Oryctolagus cuniculus: one gene and its partners. The protein of the gene in region 3 interacts with the protein of the main gene of each other region in a pairwise test. Links are inferred from orthologs where the notes say so. Each region holds a gene or a part of one and is shown on either strand. Other genes may lie near its edges. The genes, in order: MRPL11, ACOT7 and CAMK2B.

Evidence for each region.
Region 1: the proteins of CAMK2B (region 3) and MRPL11 interact in binary tests that used the Homo sapiens proteins (3 or more experiments, as listed by UniProt). The two-hybrid records come from large-scale screens. The link is inferred for Oryctolagus cuniculus from reciprocal best matches to the Homo sapiens genes CAMK2B and MRPL11.
Region 2: the proteins of CAMK2B (region 3) and ACOT7 interact in binary tests that used the Homo sapiens proteins (3 or more experiments, as listed by UniProt). The two-hybrid records come from large-scale screens. The link is inferred for Oryctolagus cuniculus from reciprocal best matches to the Homo sapiens genes CAMK2B and ACOT7.

The regions. Positions count from the first base shown.
Region 1 is NC_091432.1:5,444,235-5,447,972, reverse strand, and holds MRPL11 (large ribosomal subunit protein uL11m), read right to left. Parts: upstream 2,592-3,738; 5' UTR 2,500-2,591; coding exon 2,377-2,499; intron 2,160-2,376; coding exon 1,970-2,159; intron 1,899-1,969; coding exon 1,739-1,898; intron 427-1,738; coding exon 321-426; 3' UTR 158-320; downstream 1-157.
Region 2 is NC_091438.1:161,106,100-161,109,837, reverse strand, and holds the start of ACOT7 (cytosolic acyl coenzyme A thioester hydrolase), read right to left. Parts: upstream 2,546-3,738; 5' UTR 2,224-2,545; coding exon 2,054-2,223; intron 1-2,053. UniProt on the Homo sapiens protein: Catalyzes the hydrolysis of acyl-CoAs into free fatty acids and coenzyme A (CoASH), regulating their respective intracellular levels.
Region 3 is NC_091447.1:51,754,925-51,758,662, forward strand, and holds the start of CAMK2B (calcium/calmodulin-dependent protein kinase type II subunit beta), read right to left. Parts: upstream 2,667-3,738; 5' UTR 2,509-2,666; coding exon 2,444-2,508; intron 1-2,443. UniProt on the Homo sapiens protein: Calcium/calmodulin-dependent protein kinase that functions autonomously after Ca(2+)/calmodulin-binding and autophosphorylation, and is involved in dendritic spine and synapse formation, neuronal plasticity and regulation of sarcoplasmic reticulum Ca(2+) transport in skeletal muscle.

The DNA of each region.
Region 1 (3,738 bases), on a different chromosome or scaffold from region 3:
TTTAGTCCCAGGGATTTTGTTACAGGAACAGAAAATGAGCTAAGGCGTGGGCCAAACCACTCTGCCGGCTGAGCCTCGGTTTGTGTCCCAGGAGCCGCGTGAAGACCCCTGCCCACCCCAGGGCTGCCTCCCTGGGTCCCAAGACAGAGGCTGAGAATGGTGACAGAGACATTTATTCAGGCCTGACGCAGCCATGAGCGTAGAAATACATAATCCAGTCAGGAGAGTCACAATGAGGGTGGCGCGGTCGCCCTTCCTCCCCCTCGGCACAGGCCCCGCCCCAGCCGTTTGCCTCAGAACTGTGGGTGTGCGAGGCCGGGTCACTTCTTGGCGGCCTCTGCCTGGGCTGCCAAATCCGCCTCCTTCTGGGCAGCCAGGAACGCGGCTCGCTCCTTCTGGAAGGCCGCCAGCTCCTCGGCACTGAGGCTGCAGGTGGAGAGAGACAGACGGACGGACAGACGGATGGAGAGATGGACAGACGGACAGACAGACAGATAGACAGAGACGCACAGACAGGCAGACGGACGGACGGACAGATAGACGGGCAGGCAGGCAGACGGACGGACAGAGACGGACGGACAGGCAGGCAGGCAGACAGAAACGCACAGACGGACAGACAGACAGATAGATGGGCAGGCAGGCAGACAGACGGGTGGACGGATAGACAGAGACGCACAGACAGGCAGACGGACGGATGGACAGATAGACGGGCAGGCAGGCAGACAGATGGACAGATAGAGACGCACAGACAGGCAGACGGACGGACGGAGACGGATGGACAGGCAGGCAGGCAGACAGATGGACAGACGGATGGGCAGGCAGGCAGACGGACGGACAGAGACAGACAGGCAGACGGATGAATGGACAGGCAGGCAGATGGACGGACAGAAGGTGGACAGGCAGACAGACGGGTGGACGGGTGGTGAGCAGCTGCCACCCGGTTCTCGGGGCCCGTGTCCCCGTGTCAGAGTCCAGCTGCTCGGCCCCCAGCTTCCGCACTCCCTCGGCCAGAAAAGCCGCCCGCGGCCTTTTATCCTCTCACTAAATCGCTACCCAGCCGGGCTCCAGTCCAGTTTAGCCGGCCTCGCCCTGTGCCCCAGGAAGCCGGGGGGGCTGTGCCTGTGTCTCCCCCAGAGGACCGGGCTTACTCATCCCTGCGTCCCAGCAAAAGCTAAGACGTGAGCAAGGCCCGGTCCCCCTCTGCCCCAGGCTGCGCCCGCGCTTCCGGGAAGCGACCGTGAGCCGCGGGTGGGGCCTGACTCGGCGGCAGAGGACACGCAGGGCTCCTACTCCCCGGCCCGCCCCCGCCTGGGCCCGACACCCCCAACTCCCTGAGCTCACCTGAAGCCGAGGAGCAGGCCTCCCTCCTGTCGGCCTCGGGTCCACACCCTCCCACCCTGCCCGGGGGCTCTGCACCCAGGCCCCCCGCCCTTCCCGACTCCACGGAGATCTCCGTCCTTGGACCGTCTGCCCCAGCCCTCGGTCTCTTCCCGGCTTCTGCTCAGATGTAGCCCCTCCCCTCACGGACACTCCACGCCCAGCCAGCAACCCTCCTGGCTGCTCTGGTGACCCCGGCCCCAACACGCACCCGTGGGTCCGCGCGGCCGCCACACGGACGTGGGCCAAGCAGCGCTGCCCCCGCCTAAGCCGCGTCCCACATCCAGGACGACACCTAACACGCAACAGGTGCACCGCCCCCCCCCCCCCCCAGAACCCGAGAGGCCCCCTCCGCACTCACTCTTTGACCACGCGGATGCCCAGTGACCGCGCAGAGCCGATGATGGAGCGGACGACGGAGGACAGCGGGACGTCCAGCAGGGCGAAGGCGTCGTCCTTGGCTTTCACCAGCGCGATCTCATACACGTGCTTCAGGGTCACCAGGCCCGCCACCTCCTGCCCTGGGAGCAAGGGGCACGCGCGCTCAGGCGCTGGCCGCCGGCTCCTCCCGGGCGCCCGCCCCGGCCCTCACCTGGCCGCCGCGCTCCCTTCTCGATGCCCGCGGCCGCCTTCAGGAAGTAGGACACGGTGGGCTGGCCGATCTTGATTTCAAACGTCCTGTCGGGCTTCACCAGGATCTTCGTGGGCAGGGGGATGCCTTCTTTGATGTCCTTGGTCTTCTCGTTGAACTCCTTGCAGAACTGGTTGATGGAGACGCCTCGCTGCGGGAGCAACACGGCGGTCAGCGGGGCCGGCCGCGCCCACGCGGCCCCTCTCCTCCACCCACACTCGACTCCCGCTCTCTGCGCCACAGACTTCTTTGTGTGTCCCCCCCACGGCCTGCTGCGGAGGCCAACACGCGGGCTGGAAGCGTGCACGCGGCTCCGCGACCATCCCGGCCCTCCGGCGCCCCGCGCCGGGCTCCGGCCAGGAGCGCACCTGACCCAAGATAGGGCCCAGGGGGGGCCCGGACATGGCCTGGCCGGCCCGCACGATGGTCCGGATCACGCCGCCGGCCTCGGGCTTCCTGAGGCTTCGAGAGACCCGGCTTAGTTTCGACATGCCGCCGGCCGTCTGGCTGTGGTTCACCTCAGCGAGAGCTACGCCCTGGGCGCCGCCATCTTGGGCCAGAGGTCAAGGGGCCTCACGAGGGGCTAGGGCAGGGGAGGCCAACAAGCATCAGCCTGTTTCAGTCTTAACGGGTAAGGCCGGGAGAGTAAGAGAAAGGGAAAAAAAAGAACCTCCCCACTGGCCTGCTGCAGAGAGGGGGAAGGACCCGAGCGGCTTCGCTACGCGCATTCTTTCAGGAGCGCATACAGGCACTGCCTCGGACAGCTAAGCACGACGGCGGGCCCTCGGTGCCGCAAGGCATTGTGGGTGCGGTAGTTTTAAGGCCCCTCGTGCACGTCAGGCGACCTGGTGCGCTGGAGCGCCGTCTGCTGGACATCGTGATAACCGCACCTGTTGCTCAGAGCGGGCGTCCGTACTAAATCCTTGTTTCTCATCTAGTTGGGGTCGGGGCTGCGGCGTAGCCGGTAAAGCCGCCGCCTGCAGTGCCGGCATCCCGTATGAGGGCCGGTTCGAGTCCCGGCTGCTCCACTTCCGGTCCAGCTCTCTGCTATGGACTTGGGCCCTGCACCCACGTGGGAGACCCAGCTCCGGCCATTGCGGCCGCTTGGGGAGCTAACCAGCAGATGGAAGACCTCTCTCTCTCTGTGACTCTGCCTTTCAATAAGTAAAATGAATCTTAAAAAGAAAGTGCCTCTCTCATAAATTAATTAATTCATGGTGGCCGGGGGGAGCAGGCTGGGTCTGATCCATCTCTGTGTGCCTGACCTTCATTCACAAGTTTATTTACTAATAAAGAAACAAATCCTTCCTGGGTGAAGCCATCAGGTAGCTGACCGGCACAATCAGGGAGCCCAGGGCGAGCCGGCGGCTGGCAAACTCCACCTGGGGTCAGTGGAGGCACAGCTGGGATGATTCTGATTACCGGGAGGGACCCCTGGAAATGCCTCAAGGTCGCGTGTGAGGTTCAGAGGCAGTGGAGGCGAGGGGGCGGGACCAGGGGTTGGGGGCCAGGTCTTGCAGCCCTGGGTGGGGGAGGAAGCCCTCGAAGGGTGCTGGGCATGCATTTGCATCATATTTGCATTTTGAAAAGGTCACCCTAGCTTGGAGGAGGCAGGCAGAGGGCTGGGCCAGGTGGTGGTGGCGTGGCCGGGAAGCGATACTTAGAAGGTTGGCTGGAAGACGTGTCCAGCAGATCCTCGCCTATCTTCGTGAACAGAACCCGTTTCACGG
Region 2 (3,738 bases), on a different chromosome or scaffold from region 3:
CCAGCTAGACGTTCTGTTAGTGAGCGCTCACAACCACCCGTGAGCAAATGGGAGCACAGAGCGGTCACGCGGCGAGCGAGGGACAGAGGCGTTGCCAGTAACCGCTGCCCTCGCCTGCCTTTAAGGCCTCTGATCCTGGAGCATCCTGCCTGCAGCACGGCGTCGCCCTGACCGTCTAGAATGACAGGGGCGTGGGCATCCTCGCCCTGCTGAACCGTGACCCCCTCAGGGCAGGGTCTCAGGGTTCCCCGGGGTCAGCTTTCCCTCCCAGCGCTTTGCTCCTTGGCAGTGTCCCGTGGAGTCTTGTTAAATTCATGGGCCTGGTAGGATGTGTCGGGCCAGGAGGCTCCGCTTTCAATGCAGGGCATCAGCTCGGGTATCCTTAAAGGCTCCCCACTCCAGCGCGTCCACTCTTCAGTGTCCTGGGGCTTCTGTGGGTCAAGCCCACCTGACCACAGCCCTCTGCCCAGCACCCTCTCCCGGGGCAGGCGTGCCCTGCGCCCGAGGACCACTTCAGCCGGGCACCCTGCTCACAAGACCTCACGGCCAAGCACCCACTTCAGAGACGGTGCAGCTGTGAACCAGACACGCGAGGCGGCCCGGCAGGTGCAGCGCCCGAGAGAGTGCACATGCAGGCTTACGGGAGCATCTAAAGCCTTACAAGAATCTGTTTTCCTGTTAGTTGGAAAAAGACAATATATATATACACCCAGGCTACTCCCCACCCTGAAGAAGTAAACACGCCCAGCCTTCCGCAGGCAAACAAACTCTTCATTTGGGAGAACGGTGGGACGAACACTGCGTGGCCCTCCCAGAACTACTCAGCCCCCGGGATCCTCAACCGCTGGCTCCACACAGCGCCAGCACGGAGGTCCCGACCCTGCAGCCTTGCAGGGAACCCAACGAGATGGAGATGAGCTCAGGCTCCTTGCAAACAAGGCAGCCCGGTTCCGGGATCTGGCTGCGGGCCTGTCTGTCTGCCAACATCAGTCACTTTCATTATCTTTATCCCTGCCTCCCCCCACCACCACCACCTGAGAGGACAGCACACAGCCAGGGGCACAGGGCTCCCCCATGCACGCTTCCCCTCGCTAGGAAAGCCAAGATTGACCTTAAGACCAACAAAGGGGTCTCGGCCAAGCCAGAGAACGGGGAGCTGGGGGCAGGAGCTCCAGGCTCCCAGAGAACCAGCTCCTTCGGGAAAGTAACTGGCCCAGGGTGGACACGGCTGGGACCCCAGGTCAGCGCGATGCCCAGCGTGGGGAACCCGGCTTGGTCCCCCCAGCAGGACAGAGCTGGCCTCGCCCTTGTCCGCCCGCACTGATGCCTCTGCGCCCGGCGGCCTGCCGGTCACCTTGAGGCTGCCCTCCCGTCCTCCTGCCTGGAGACCAGCAAGCTCCCACCCCCCGCGGCCGCTGGGGCCCGCATCTCTATCCCGACACGCGGGTGTGGTGGGGGTCGCCGAGACGACTCTGCCTCCTATTGTGTGAGATGCTTCGGGCCCGCGCAGCTCCCTTTCCTTAGCGGTAAGCCGCTCCAGGCCAAGAGCCCTGATCGGTTCTGGGCCTCCACACCTGCCCTCTCCGAACCCGCCGCGGGGGGCTGTGGGGCCGGCGGGCGCAGCCCCCTCCCTAAACCCACGGCGAGCGGCCTCCGGGGGGCTCCGGCGCCGGTCCTCCACCCTCGCTTCCGCACTACAGCCCAGGGGGCGATCCCGAAGCTCCGGGGGCCCAGAGGGCATCCCGGGCCGGGGTCTGAGATGTCGGGTGCACCGACCCCCTCGCCGGTCCTGGCCCCGGCCCTCTTCCTCCCCCCAAACGGCCGGTGCTGGCGGCAGCGCGGCCGCCGCCCTTGAGATGCGCCGAGAGGTGGTGGGAGGAGCCCCCCGGGCCGCGTCTACCTCAGCATCGCCGGCGCATCCCCGCCGCCGGCGGCCCGGGCCCCGAGACGAGGGCGCGGGGACTCGAGGGGCGATCCCCCGGCGCCGGGGCGGGGATGCCGGCGGCCTCGGTGGGCGGGGGTCGCAGACCCCACGGGTGGGCCCCTCTCTTACCGGCATATCTGAATGGCGGACGGCGTGTCGGCGGCGGGGCCCGACATGCTGGCGGCGGCGGCGGCGGCGGCTGCAGGCGGCGGGAGGAGCGCGCAGGTGTCTGGAAGGCCCGGCGCGGAATGAATGAGCCCGGGCGGCGCCATGGAGGGGGAGGGCGGAGGCGGAGCCATGGCGCCGGCAAGGCGGGGCCTGCGCGCGGGGGGCGAATCGAACGCGGCCTCCCCGTGCGGGCCCCGCCCCCGCTCGGGCCCCGCCCCTTTCCCCGCCCCCCTGGCCGCCACGGCCGCGGTGGGCCCGCGTCGGCGTCCGGTTCTGTCGGCGGAGGGGGCTGCCCCGGGGCGCGGCTTCCAGAAGGTTCGACGGCAGTTGGGCGGGGTCGGCCCGCGGGCGGCGGCGGCGGCTGACGGCCCTGCAGCCTGCGAGCGCCCGGCGGGCGCGGCCCGAGTCGCGCAGCTCGGCGGACGCGTCGCTCGCCTCCGCGGCGGGCAGAGTCGGCGGGGCGTTCCCTGCGGGTCGCGCCGGCGATTCGCTGTCTGCGCCCCGTGCTCCGCGGGCCGGATGAGGTCAACGCGGAAGGCCCGGCCCGGCGTTCGGGCCTGGAGCCGCCCGCCGGGCGCTGCCGCCCTGCACGGCGGCGCGCTCTCGAGTGGGCCGTGAGAGGCCGAGTGCCGGCCCCGGGGGTGGTGGCCGCTGTGGGGAACACGACATGGGCCAGCGCGGGCGGATAGGCCGTGCCCGCGCCGCCCCGCCGCTGTCCAGGCGTCCGGCTCCGGGGCCCACGGCCGCAGGGAGTGGGGGCCGCCCGGATGCACGCGGTGTCCCCGAAGTGAGTCCAGAACGAGTCTGGGGTCACAGAATCCACCCAAAAAACCCCCCGGGAAGGGTGGTCAGCTCCACCTGCGGGGGTCCGGAGAGCTTTTTTGTTTGTTTTATAAGATACATTTTTATTCACGTGAAAGAGTTAGAGGCACAGAAACCTCCCCTGCGCTGGTTCACTCGCCAAGTGGCCGCAGGGGCTGGGCCAGGCCAAAGCCAGGGGCCTGGAGCGCCACCCGAGTCTCCCACGAGCGCGGCATCTGCTGCTTTCTCAAGCACGTTAGCAGGGAGCCGGATCGGAAGTGGAGCAGCCGGGACTCGAACCCGTGCCAGCACCACAGGCTGTGGCTTAACCAGCTGCGCCACAGCGCTGGCCCAGTACACGTAGTTTTCCCACATGAAATAAGTTTACCCAAGCATGAAGAGCCACGAAGCCTAGTTAAACACCACATCTTCCCAACGTGGACCCTGAAATGCAAGGGAAGAGGGGACCCACTTTGGGGGTTCAGGAAGGAAGTTTCGAGATCCCCGAGGGGAGGCGATGGCTAAGCGCAGCCCTCCTGACCTCTGCTGGAGTTTATGAGGTTATGACTGTAAGGAGGTAGCAGGTTAATAACTCTTCCTCCTCCTGGTTCTCTTCCCCACCCGTCATTCTGTTTCTTTAATCCTTCCCAGGTGGATGCAATAGAACAAGGAATTGTCCAGGCCCTGCCCTGTTTGCATAGGTGTGCTCGTCCAGCTGGACATCAGAAGTGCTTCCTGGGGCCGGCACTAGGGTGTAGCGGGTAAAGCCGCTGCCTGCAGTGCCGGCATCCCACATGGGCGCCGGTTCGATTCCTGGCTGCTCCACTTCCGATCCAGCTCCATGC
Region 3 (3,738 bases):
CGAAAGTGGCAAAAGATGAACAGTTTGCAACCTGAGCAGGCAAACCACCGGCACTTCTTTTGCGAGTTCTGGTATTTTCTGAATTTTGAAAAATCTACAAGATGTAAAGCAAGCGAGACCCGCACTGCAGGGTCCACACCGCCCAGGACGTCCCTGCTTCACTGTGCGCCTGCCCCTGGGGTCCCTGGGCTCCAGACAGCTTCGGCTCCCCACAGGGCTGGACACTGAAGGGCACACCCATAGCCCCAAGGTGGGCAGGACCCGTGGCACGGCCCCCAGGGCACACCCAGGAGCAGAGGCGGAGAAAGGACAGGGCAGGAGAAGGAGAAGCCTTCGAGCAGCCTCAGGCCCGTGGCCCAGCCCATCCACCAGCAGGGACAGCGGGCAGCTCGGCGCGCCTGACTGGGTGCCAGGGGCTGCAGCTTTAAATAAACTTGGACCAGTCCACCTGGGCCGGGAGGCAGCACCAACTGTGCCCCGGCCAGCCCTGTCAACAACTAGCCAGCATGGCCGCTGCGGATCTCGCCTGCACGGCCCCGGCCCCCTCCCCACATGCTGCCTGACCCCAGGCATTCCCCTGGGGCCAGACAGGCTCAGCTGGGCTGAGCTGACCGATGCTGGCTGCGACGCCCCCTCTTGTCCCAAGTCGCTGCAGGCCCCTCACATCGCACCCACTCCCTTCCAGCCGCTCCTCCTGCCCACCTGGGAAGCAGTGAGCGATTCCAGCCCTCACCTGCCCCTCCAGGAGAGTCAGCCCCAGACACCTCTACTCTCAGGGTGGCGGCAGCTGCCGATAACCAGTTGCTGTTGGGACGGGAGGCTGGGGGCGGGGGGACCCAGCCAGCCCGAGCTGCGGCCAGGGAAGGTGGCCATGCCACAGGGAAGACAGGAGACATGGAATGAGCCTGGGCTGGGGCCCCCGACTCGCCAGGGGCTGCCCTGGCAGATGCCCAGGGTGAGGGCCTGTGTGATTCCGGACACAGTGGAGGAGAGGCCACGAAGGTCCCTGGAAGTGACCACTGCCCTCTTCCCGGGACAGCCCGCCACCTGCCTGACCCACAGCATAGAGACAGCGCCGGGGACACAGGGCAGCGGGGGGGTCTGAGCACCACTGGGTCAGACCCAGGGCTCCCACGAGGACCCCCAGCCCACCCAGCACCCTCTTCCTCTCTGCCTCCGGCCCAGCCTGCCCCGGAAGGTTGTTCCTTCCAGGGCGGCCCTCCACAGCCAACAGGCCTCCGCCAAGGGGTCCTGAGCTGCCCCTATCCCCTCACTTCCACCCTAGGCCGCCCCCAGGCCTGCTTGACCTGGGGTGTCCCCACGTGCAGAGAGAAGAAGGAAGGCGCGCAGCGCACCCCTCCCGCGGCTGCTCCACAATTATCAGCCATCAGCGTCCCTCGCCCACCACAAGCTTCCACCAGGCGCTTTTTTAGTAAAGGGGAAAAAAGGATCTGCCGCTGCAAGTGTAAGAGGAAATCTCGCCAGCGCCCCCGCCCGCAGGAGAGCTGGGGGAGGGCGGGGGGGGGAGGGGAAGGATGGGCCCGGCGCGATCCGGAGTTCTGAAGCCAGCCCAAGGGGTGCCAGGCACAGCCACCTTGGTGCGCCGAGGGGGACCTGTGGGGCTCCCTAGCCTTTGACCTGAGGGGCAGAGCGGCACCTGAAGACCCCAAAGCAGGACATGGCTCGCCTGGCGGAGCGCACGGTGTGTCCAGGGGCTGGGGCACCTGTTCCCAGGAGGCCCCACCTGCGCCTGGCCATCACGGCCCCTCGCTGCCTCCGGGAGCCCGAAAACAACGCTCCCAAACCCAGCCCCAGGAGCCGCCCGCGCGGGAGCCCTGCCTCACCCCTTCATCCCCACCCTTCATGACCTGACCCGGACTCCCTGACCTCGCCCCCTCCTCCAAATAACTGTTTCCAGAAGAATCTAGGGAAAGATCCTCCCTGGATCGCCGGGGGCCCACGCAAGGCTGCTCCCACGCCGGCAACCCGCACGGAGGGGGCCGCGCAGGAGCAGGCGCGGAGCGGGTCCCGCCGCCCCCGCCGCCGCCGCCCGGTGGGGGTGGGGACAGCGCGCCGCGCGGGGGCGACCCCCGGGGCCGCAGCCGGCCGGACTCGGCGCACCAGGCCCCGCGCCCGCCCCCGCGCGCCCCTCCTCGGTGACCTCCCCGCCGCCAAATGCGTCACGTCTGCCCCGCGCTCGGGGGACACCTGCTGCCGCCCCCGCCGCGCGAGTCCAGAGCCCCGGGCCCCCGGGCGCCGCGCTGTGCGGCGCCGGGCCCGGGGTCGGGGTCGGGCAGCGCGGGGCCGCACGCTCCGGCCGGGGCCCGGAGGAGCCGGGGGCGCGCCGGGCCGCAGTGCGCCCGGGGCCGGCGGCGCCGAGGCTCCAGCGCCCCAGGGGCCCGGCCCTCGGGGGCCCGGCCAGCGCGCGCGCCTCGGCTCTTACTTGCCAATATCCTCGTAGAGCTGATACTCGTCGGTGAAGCGAGTGCAGGTCACCGTGGTGGCCATGGCGGCGGCGGACGGGAACGGCGTGCGCTCGGCTGCGCTCGGCGGCGGCGACTCCGGCTCCCGCTCGCGGGCACGGCGGCGACACGGGCGCGGGCGCGGAGACACCTCGGCTCGCGGCGCCGGGCGGGGGCCGGGCTGGGCTGCGCGCGCGGCGGGCGCACGCGAGATCTGCTCGCTCGGTCCCCGCCAGGAGCGCGCCGCACACCTACGCGGGGAGGCGCGGGAGCGCTGTCACCGCCGCCGCCGCCGCCGCGCCCGCCCCGCCTGCTGCCCCCAGCACGCGCCGCATCCGCGCCCCGCACACGCCGCTCCTGCACTCGCGCCGCGCCACACCCGCGCCCTGCACCTGCACCGGGCCCGCGCCCTGCATTCAAACCGGTGTCCTGCACCCGCACCGCGCCGCACCCGCGCGGTGCCTGTACCCTGATACAGCACGCTAGCACGCACGCCGCTCCTGCACCCACATTGCACCGGCTTCTGTGCCCCACTCGGGGCCCTGCACATGCACCCACACTTACAGCGGTGCCTTTCACCCGCACATGTGTCTGTCGCAATACATGCGGCCGCACCATGAACCTGGACACGCACCTATGCCCTGCACCCACACTCTGCACCCACATCATGCCCACACACTGCATCCGCACGGCCACATTCTGCACTCCCACTCGCACCCTGCACCTGCACGCACACCTGGACCCGTGTGCTGCCCACATGCACATCCTGAACCCACACCTGAACAGGGCCTACACCCTGCACCCACAGCCTGTGTCTGTATCGCGCCCCCCACACACACACCTGTGCTGCACCCACAGCCTGTGTTCTGTGCTGCACCCACACAGTGCCTGCACCCATGCTGGCTCCAGGACGGCTCTCAGTGGGAGCCCAGCCTCCTCTCACCACTGGAGGCCCCCAGGCTCTGAGCAGAGGACACTGAGGCCCGTGTGGGGGCCCTGGCTCCTGTGCTGCCCTGACAGGACTCACTGCTCCACCCCTGGCGGGGGGGTGCCGCCAGAGCCTCCTGCTCAGGCTCCCTGGGGCCACACGCACGCCGTCCCGTCCCCTCTGCCGGGACTGCCTGGCGGGCACGTCGCTGGGGCACTAGAGCCAGGGACGACAGGATGGCCCGAGGGTGCTCCTGCCCCGTGCTGCCCGCCCCTCGCTCCCACACTCCTCCAGGACCGGGGGCTGAGGCCAGGGCACCTGGATTGGAGGTTCTGGGAGGTTTGGAGT